Linked DNA regions of Oryctolagus cuniculus. The main gene of each other region encodes a partner of the protein of the gene in region 2 in a complex. Links are inferred from orthologs where the notes say so. Each region holds a gene or a part of one and is shown on either strand. Other genes may lie near its edges.

Evidence for each region.
Region 1: OGT (region 2) and THAP3 share a complex: the UniProt entries of both Homo sapiens proteins name them as parts of the THAP1/THAP3-HCFC1-OGT complex. The link is inferred for Oryctolagus cuniculus from reciprocal best matches to the Homo sapiens genes OGT and THAP3.

Annotation. Positions count from the first base shown.
Region 1 is NC_091438.1:160,922,824-160,927,464, reverse strand, and holds the start of THAP3 (THAP domain-containing protein 3), read left to right. Parts: upstream 1-1,223; 5' UTR 1,224-1,284; coding exon 1,285-1,358; intron 1,359-3,197; coding exon 3,198-3,390; coding exon of another isoform or gene 3,391-3,392; intron 3,393-4,641. UniProt on the Homo sapiens protein: Component of a THAP1/THAP3-HCFC1-OGT complex that is required for the regulation of the transcriptional activity of RRM1.
Region 2 is NC_091453.1:51,360,266-51,365,001, reverse strand, and holds part of OGT (UDP-N-acetylglucosamine--peptide N-acetylglucosaminyltransferase 110 kDa subunit), read right to left. Parts: intron 3,398-4,736; coding exon 3,272-3,397; intron 2,135-3,271; coding exon 1,964-2,134; intron 1,854-1,963; coding exon 1,737-1,853; intron 1,647-1,736; coding exon 1,476-1,646; intron 1-1,475. UniProt on the Homo sapiens protein: Catalyzes the transfer of a single N-acetylglucosamine from UDP-GlcNAc to a serine or threonine residue in cytoplasmic and nuclear proteins resulting in their modification with a beta-linked N-acetylglucosamine (O-GlcNAc).

The DNA of each region.
Region 1 (4,641 bases), on a different chromosome or scaffold from region 2:
CCGGGGCTCTGGGACACAGCTGGTCTGGGCACCTGTTTGTGAAGTGTTTCCACGAGCCTTGTTCCCTGGAAGGCGGAGAGGGAGTAGTGCCCAAGTGTGCTTGTAGCGGGGCGGGGGTCTCGGGCCAGCAGAGTTCTCTCCCGAAACTCCAGGGCGGATACATAGTTTGCTGTTGTCGCATCTCTCCTGTCGGGCCGGGTCTGTCTCTGTGTTTTAATGCTTCTGTCAACAAGTAGCGAAACAGTGGTGAAGCCGTGTTTGTCGGGGGCTCCCCAGCCCAGAGCCAAAGAGCTGCCCGGCCGCGCCTGCCCAGCCCAAGTTCCAAAGTCGTTTCTGTTTTAAACTTGAGCTTTTAGAAGTGCATTTAAGAGCCTGGAGCCGGGCCGCGCTGGTGTCGCCTCGGAGGGGCTCCATGGGGTCCCCCGCTTCCTCCTGGTCTGTGGCAGAGCCGCGCCAGGGCTGGGGCCCGCTGGGCTTGTGTGGTCAGCTGCTTTGTGCAGGGTCCCGGCCGTGGTCCCGTGTGGTGTCCGTCTGCATAAACCAAGCTGTTTCTGTGAAACTGTACATTTGTAAATAAAGATGGTTCTCCTTTGAGCGCGGCGCCGGCCTGTGTGTTCCGTGCAGAGGGCATGGGGGGCTCCCCGTGCCGCGCGGAGGGGCCGGGGCTGGGCCAGTAGGGGAGGTGAGCGCCTAGCGCGCGCTATGCAGAGAGGCGAGACCACCACCCACCTCCCAGCCCAGCCTTACCGCGCGGGGGGAGGGGCGATGGGCAGGGGTCTCGGCCGGCCCCCTCCCTCCCCGCAGCGCCAGGCTCTTCGAGGGCGCGGGGCCGGGCCGGGAGGTGAGCGGTCCAGGGCGCGTGATGCAGAGAGGCGAGACCACTGCCCATCTCTGAGCCATACCCGCGCTGGGGGAGGGGCGATGGGCAGGGGTCTCAGCCGGCCCCCTCCCTCCCCGCAGCGCCAGGCTCTGCGAGGGCGCGGGGCCGGGCCGAGGGCGCGGGGCCGGGCCGGGAGGTGAGCGCCCAGCGCACACGATGCAGAGAGGGGAGACCACCGCCCACCTCCGAGCCATACCCGCGCTGGGGGAGGGGCGATGGGCAGGGGTCTCAGCCTGGACCCCGGCAGCGCCAGGCTCTGAGGGTGCGGGGGCCGGGAGCCCCCAGACCCGGCCCGAGCCCCGCGGCCCCGCGCCCGTCCCGCCCCCCTCCCGCCACCCCGCAGGCCCCGCCCCCGCCTGCCGCGCCGCCATCTTTGTTGGGGGCAGCTGGGCCTAGTGGCGGAGATGCCCAAGTCCTGCGCAGCCCGGCTGTGCTGTAACCGATATGGAAATTGTAGGAAACAGCTCACCTTCCACCGGTGAGGGGGCGCGGGGAGGGGGCGCACGGGGCGGGGGCGCCGCGTGCACCTGGCCCGGGGCACCCGGGAGCTCAGGGACTCGGGCAGCCGGGGGAGGGGGGAGACCTGGGGGCCGCCCCTCGTCCCGTCTGTGCGGGCCGGCCCGGGGGTGCGCACCCCCTCTGCTCGCTCCACGCTTTCGTGCCAGGCAGCCGGCGGGGGCCGCGGAACCAGATCCTGGCTGGCCCCGCCCGCTGCATGCCCACCTCCCCGCTGAGGGCATTGGGGCAGCTCCCTGTCCGGCCGCCTCAGACGCTGCCCTGGGCATTCACCCGGGCATGGAGCTGCCTTTTTTTTTTTTTTTTTTAATTCATTCGTTATTTATTTTGAAGAGAGAGAGCGCGCGGAATCTTCTGTCCATTGGTTCACTCCCCAAATGGCCACAACAGCCTGGGCTGGGCCAGGATGAATCAGGAGCTCCCTGGGCTCCCACGTGGGTGCAGGGCCCCAGGCACCTGGGCCACCTCCCGCTGCTTTCCCAGGTCACAGCAGGGAGCTGGGTCAGAAGTGGGCTGTTGTGGACTCTGATGCGGGCTGTTGAGCCGCAGGCCAGGCCCCGTGCTCACCTTGGCCTCTCTGGGCCGCTGGACGGCGCCCATCCCTCGATTGCCCGCTGGGCTTCTCGGACAGTCAGCTCTTTGCCGGCTTGCTTCCTGCACGTCCAGTGCGGGTACTGAGGGTGTGGGCCGCGTTCCCTCCTGCCCGGGTGCGTGGGTTTCCGAGGGCCGGCCTTCACACAGCCCCCAGGAGCCATCCCTGTGTCCACCTGCTGCCCTGCACTTGGGTAATCCAGAAGTACCTTGATTTTTTTTTTTAAGACCTATGTATTTCCTTGAAACCGGAGTTAGAGATCAGACTCCATCCCTGGTTCACTTCCTAAACGGCCTCAACAGACACAGCTAGGCCGGGCGGAAGCCAGGACCTGGGACCCCATCGGAGTCTCCCGCGTGGGTGCAGGGGCCCAGGCACTTGGACGGTCCTCTGCTGCCTTCCCAGGCGCCGTAGCAGGGAGCTGGATCAGACGTGGACTCCGGTCTGGGAGGACGGTCTCGCAGGCGATGGCTTCCCCTGCTGTGCCACGCGTGGCTGATCCCGAGGCAAACCCCACTCTGAACTGTCCTGGGCTCCCCGCCTCCCGCTGACACCTGCTGTGACCGCCTGGTGCCCTCCTGCAGCTCAGCCCTGGCCCCCACGCCCTCCTGCTGTGTCCTCTGCTGGCTAAGCGCGATCTCTTCAGGTGGCCCTCCCTGTCCCCCCAGCACTTCCTGTCAGCTGATGCCGCCCACGTGGTCGGTTCCTGCCTGCTTGGGAGCGGTGGTCTTGCTGACCCCAGGCGGCCAGTGGTAACAGGGCCTCGGGATGTTGGCCGTTTTCATGGTCGGTTTGCTTTATTAGGATGCCATGAAGAGTCATGACGGAAGCTTCCAGAAATCAGTTGTGATTTTTTTTTTTAATTTATTTGAAAGGCAAAGTTACAGAGAGGCAGAGAGAGGGAGGTCTTCCATCTGCTGGTCCATTGTCCAAATGGCTGCGACAGGAGCTTCTCCCGCGCGGGTGCAGGGGCCCAAGGACTTGGGCCATCTTCTGCTGCTTTTCCACGTCATAGCAGAGCTGGATCGGTAGTGGAGCAGCCGGGGCGTGAACCGGCGCTCATATGGGATGCTGGCAGTGCAGGCGGCGGCTTTAGCCGCTGTGCCACAGCACCAGCCCTCAAGATGTGATTGCACAGAGGGAGGTGACTGCGCGCCCAGCGGGCTCCCCAGGCGCTGAGCTCGCTCACGTGCCCGCTCGCCCTTCTAGGTTCCCGTTCAGCCGCCCCGAGCTGCTGAAAGAATGGGTGCTCAACATCGGCCGGGCCAACTTCAAGCCCAAAAAGCACACGGTCATCTGCTCCGAGCACTTCAGCCCGGAGTGCTTCAGCGCCTTCGGGAACCGCAAGAACCTGAAACACAACGCCGTGCCCACGGTGTTTGCCTTCCAGGACCCCACGCAGGTAGGGCGCTCCCCGACGGCACAGGCAGCCGGGGGCAGGGAGCCAAGGCCAAGCACTAGCGCAGGAGTGGCCCCGTCGGGCATCTGGGGCTTGGAGCCCTGTGGCTCTGCCGGCCTTGACCTTGAGTGGAGAAGGGGTCAGTTGGGCCCCTTTAGGCCAAGTGTGCTTCCCGACAGCGCGGTTGGAGGGGCTGCCTGCCTGGGTCTCCTGCGGCCGGCAGCACGTGTCCTGGGCGGCCCGCAGCTGGCATGCTGAGGGCAGACAGCGGCAGGAAGGCGGGAGGCGTGGGACGGTGGGCAGGGGCTGGGAGTGGGGGAAGGTCCCCCAGCTGGAGGTCCCCAGAGGGCAGAGGGAGCACAGTTAATAGGTGGGCGGCTCGAGCCGAGCACTGCCGGTTCTGGAGGCCGTGGAGCAAGGCCGGGTCCTGGCGAGTGTCCTGGGGTCCGCAGGCCGGCCGCGCAGACGGCGGGAGCAGGCTGTCTCCTGCCCAGAGGCCTCACCTCCTGAGACCTCCCTGCAGGCCTGGCGGTGGAGGGGAGGGGCTTGGAGCTGGCTGAGGCCCTGATGGACCTGTGGGACACGAGGGGACGGGTCTTGGGGGCGGGGTGTGTGGGTGCTGCTCAGCAGAGTTTGTGAAGAGTGTGGGACGTGGGAGCCATGAGAGGGTGACCTCGATTTTCCTAAATCCAGTGGGTGCCCAGAGCAGGCGTGGGCAAGCAGAGTGAGGAAGACTGAGGCCGACTCTGGACTCAGTCAGCAAACGTGCCTGCGCCCCTGCGCCCTGCCTGCCCGGCTCTTCCCAGTCGGCCCATCCCCTGCCTGCCCCACGTCTCCTGGCACCTGCGGCCACCTGCCCCCCCCCCCCCCCCCTTATTTATTTATTTGAAAGGCAGAGTTACAGAGAGGCAGAAGCAGAGAGGTAGAGGAAAGTCTTCCACTGCTGGTTCACTCCCCAGATGGCCAGGAGCCGGGAACTTCTTCCGGGTCTTCCATGTGGGTGCAGGGCCCCAAGGACTTGGGCCATCGTCCACTGCTTTCCCAGGCCACAGCAGAGAGCTGGATCAGAAGTGGAGCAGCTGGGACTTGAACTGGCGCCCACATGGGATGCCAGCACTGCAGGCGGCGGCTTTACCTGCTACACCACAGCGCCAGCCCCACTTACTCCCCCCCTTTTTAAAAGATTTATTTATTTGAAAGGCAGAATTACAGAGAGAGAGAAGGAGAGGCAGAGAGAGAGAGAGAGAGAGAGAG
Region 2 (4,736 bases):
CTGGGAAAGCACTTGGGCCCCTACACCCACAAGGGCAACCCAGAATAAGCTCCTAGTTTCGTGGCTTCAGATCGACCCAGCTCCAGCCATTGTGGCCATTTGGGGAGTTAACAAGAGGGTGGAAGACCTTTCTCTCTGTCTCTTCTCCCTCTTATTGTCTGTAACTCTACCTCTCAAATAAATAAAATCTTTAAAAAAAAGGAAATGGCTGCAACATTGCCTTAATTTGAGGACTGCACTATAAAACTTTCAAGGTAATTCATTCATTGGTAATTTGTTTGATGAAGCAATGCCATCATACTTTAATTTATTTGACAGGTAGAGTTACAGACAGTGAGAGAGAGAGAGACAGAAAGGTCTTCCTTCTGTTGGTTCACTCCCCAAATGGCCACTACGGCTGGCACTGCGCCAATCTGAAGCCAGGAGCCAGGTGCTTCTCCTGGTCTCCCATGGGGTGCAGGGCCCAAGCACTTGGGCCATCCTCCACTGCCTTCCTGGGCCACAGCAGAGAGCTGGACTGGAAGAGGAGCAACTGGGACTAGAGCCCAGTGCCCATATGGGATCTGGAGAGTATTAACCAAGTGAGCCACTGCACCAGCCCTGAAACTTCTTGCTCTAACCAAATTTCCCAGTACCCTATTAATAATTCAACAGCAAGCTTTTGCTCACTCTTTTTCTCATGAATGAAATATTCCTTTTCTAAATTGCATCGCTAAACTGAAATTATCCCTCCAAATGGTCTCCTCTCGCAACTGTCTCTCCCCACATTGATCATCAGCATTTCTGAGCTTCTACCTTATCTTGCAAACCCACACTTGCGAGTACTGCCTTATGCTGTTATTGCTGTTATTTAACTATTCTAGGCAGGTTCAGCCATTTCAACGAAACTGTTAACTCCTAAGAGGTCTGGGATCCTAGCCTCACACTCTCTTAACAGAGGTGCATACTCATTTATTCAAGCATGCAATACATTATTTGTTGAGTGCATATTACATTATTGTGGTTAACACACATGCCCTAGAGTAATTCAATTCACTGGAGGACACAGAGATAATGTCTTCTGTTGAATATCTCAAATATTACAAAAACACAACAGGGAGGTTATCAATGGAGTAGGGCTGAAGAGGTAAAACCTAAAGTACAGGAACAGATTATTGAGAGGAGCTGTCTGAATGTAAAGTGTAAGTACAATTTAGCCCAGGAAAAGGACACACATTTCACCATATGATAGAGAGCATAGCCACAGGCAGGGAATAACAAGATATTAACACAGTAAACTCTCTCTCAGCAACCTGCTGGCTGAATACAAGAGACTTTTAAATTCAAACCTACAAGGACACCAATTTCCACTGAACTCACATCCTCATCTGTAAAATGAGGATAATAATGCTTCCCTCCTAGAGTTAACTGTGAGGGTTAAAGAAGATAAACGCATGCTTGGTAGCACATGTAATAGACTATTATTCTTTTCTCACCTGTGTGGTTGCCAAGCCATTGCTAATACTAAATCCATTAATCGTTATCTGAATCTGTCCTCTATTTATCATTTCAATAACTGCTTCGGCAATAGTGTTCATAGGAATGACAGGCATATTAAGAGCCGTGTTACTGCTATCTGCATTGTCTCCTCCATCAGGACATTTCATCTAAAAACACAAAAGGATACAAAATACATTAAGGAAAGATCTCAAATGCAATTATCATTATTTCAATGGTAACACTGACGAGATTCTTACCTTCACAATTTTCACATCTGGTAGACTATCAAGAAATGCTTTGAGGTCGATGCCATTCAGAACTATCCGATTGTCGTAAATGTGCCCATTGGACTTAAAATCAATGACTGCTTTTTTCTAATGGAAAAAAACGTTTCAGACATGTCTCAGGGTGCATATGAGCAACAAGAAGGAAATACATGATGACAATTCTTTGAATCCCAGCCCCTCGGCAGTTTTCTACATACCTTCAAGTGAGGGAACATATTAGCATGATCACCAATAAAGAAAGTATGGGGCATATAAGCCAATTTCTCAGAATACTGCTCAGCAACCTCTGCTGGTGATGTTTCCTGATCAGTGATTATATAATCCATGAAAAGTGCACCGCTAGTCCCAGGGTATCCCAGCCACATCGCCTTTAAAAGAGAGAAAGACCAGAAACTGATTAAGAAACTTCATCGGTATACTTCTTTCTTAATTCAACAAACTGTACGCATTAAAGATGGATAGACTCTTTTGTACATGCATCACACCTCAATAAAGTGTTTAAAAAAAACATAAGAACACTCATTAAAAGGTTCCAAATTTAGGGGCTGGCCAGTAGATTAAGCCACTGCCACTTGGAATCTCAGCTATTCCAGTTCCAATCCAACTCCCTGCTAATGTACCTGGAAAAGCCACCCACCCAAGTGGCCCTGCCACTAAAGTGGGAGACCTGGATGAAGCCCCTGGCTCCAGCCTGGCCCAGCTCCAGCCATTGAGGCCATTTGGGGAGTGGACCAGCAGATGAAAGATCTGTCTCTGTTCTCTTTAACTCAGCCTTTCAAATAAATAAACCTTGGCCGGCGCTGTGGCTCACTTGGCAAATCCTCCACCTGTGGCGCCAACACCCCAGGTTCTAGTCCCAGTTGGGGCGCCGGGTACTAGTCCCAGTTGCTCCTCTTCCAGTCTAGCTCTCTGCTGTGGCCCAAGAGGGCAGCGGAGGATGGTCCAAGTGCTTGGGCCCTGCACCCACATGGGAGACCAGGATGAAGTACCTGGCTCCTGGCAGCGCCGGCCGTAGTGGCCATTAGGGGAGTGAGCCAACGGAAGGAAGACCTTTCTGTCTCTCTCTCACTGTCTATAACTCTCTCACACTGTCTATAACTCTCTGTCTCTCTCTCTCTATCTAACTGCCTGGCAAAAATAAATAAATAAATATAAATAAACCTTAAAAATTGTTCCAAATTTAAATAAATTAACAATTAGGATTAACTTCTTTAACCAAGAGCAATAAAGTAGTATTTTAGACTAATCTTCTAAGTGCCAAAATGTTTTTCAAATTTGTATAATTCAACCATGAATTGCATGTCTCCATACGGGTACATATGCATGTATCCAGAGGCACTGTGTTCTGCACTCAAAATTATGTGTCCCTGTACATTTCAAGAACTGTAGTTTCTAAAACATAACTAGGTCTGCTCTACTATTTCATGTATCTGTTAGCCTAAGGGAAAAAAATACATCACTATCTTTGTAGTCCAAGATACATCCCGAGTGACTAATTCCTTTACCTGAATAGGAGCTGGTCTAAGAGCAAAGAGCTCATTTCGTGCACCCTTGGTATAACCATTCATATTCACAAGGATGTGAATTCCATCCTGATGGATGCGATCAGCTGCTTTTCCATTGCATGGAATCTGTGGAACACAAAATAAGAATTCAGCACATATAATCTCAGAATAATGTGATTATTTTTAATGGCATTAAACAGAATTCAGATTCCCTGATGCAAAAGTAGTTAACAGAAATTAACCACACTGATAAAGGCCAAAATATGTGTAAGTGCCATTAATATGCACTCAAAGCATTACAGAAACAGGACACAGAGGAAGAAGAGTTTACCTCTGAACTGAATGTTTGGAGTAGTGACACGTCATAGCAGAGTTAGTATTTGAAAAAGACCTTCAAAGATTACAAGGAATGAGAGGGAATCTGAAAATATAACCTCAGAGGCCAACACTGTGGTATAGCAGGTAAGGCCACTGCATTCAGTGCCAGCATCCCATATGGGCACCAATTTGAGTCTCAGCTGCTCCACTTCTGATCCAGCTCTCTGCTATGGCCTGGGAAAGCAGTAGAAGATGGCCCAAATCCTTGGGCCCTGCACCTGCGTGGGAGACCTGGAAGAAGCTCCTGGACCCTGGCTTCAGATCAGCCCAGCTCCGACCATTGTGGCCATCTGAGGAGTGAACCGGCGAATGGAAGACCTCTCTCTCTCTCTCTCTCTCTCTCTCTGCCTCTGCTTCTCTGTAACTCTGCCTTTCAAATAAATAAATCTTCAAAAAGAAAGAGAGAGAGAAAATATAACCTCAGTAAAGAACAATTGAAAAGAACCAGAGTAAAGGACAAGGTAGGTTTAAAAAAGGTGAGGAGAAGCAGGTGCTGTGGCACAGTGGGTTAAGCCACCACTTGGGATGCCTGGATCCCGTATCAGAATGCCAGTTCAACTCCCAGTTACTCTGCTTCCAATCCTGCTCCCTACCAATGCCCTGGGAAGCAACTGATGATAGTTAAAGTACTTTGAGCTCCTGCTACCCATGTGGTAGAGGCCCAGATGGGGCTTCTGGCTCCTGGCTTCAACCTGGCCTTGCCTCAGTTGTCATGACCACTTGGAGCACAAACCAAGGAATGGAAGCAATCTGTTGCCGTGCCCCCTCCTTTTCCCCTGTCACTCTGCCTTTCAAATAAATAAATCTTAAAAACAACAAGAAGAAGGTAAGTAACTTACATTTAATTGGTAAAGGGTGCACCTGAAGGTTAACGGCGGTTTAAAGTACTAGCAGGGGCCAGCTCTATGGCATAGCAGAGTTAAGCCAGCACCAGCATCCCATATTGGTGCCAGTTCACGCCTTAGCTGCTTTACTTCCAATCCAGCTCCCTAAGGGAAAGCAGCAGAGGATGGCACAAGTGCTCGGGCCTCTGCACACAAATGGGAGATCTGGAAGAAGCTCTTGACTCCTGGCTCTAGTTTGACCC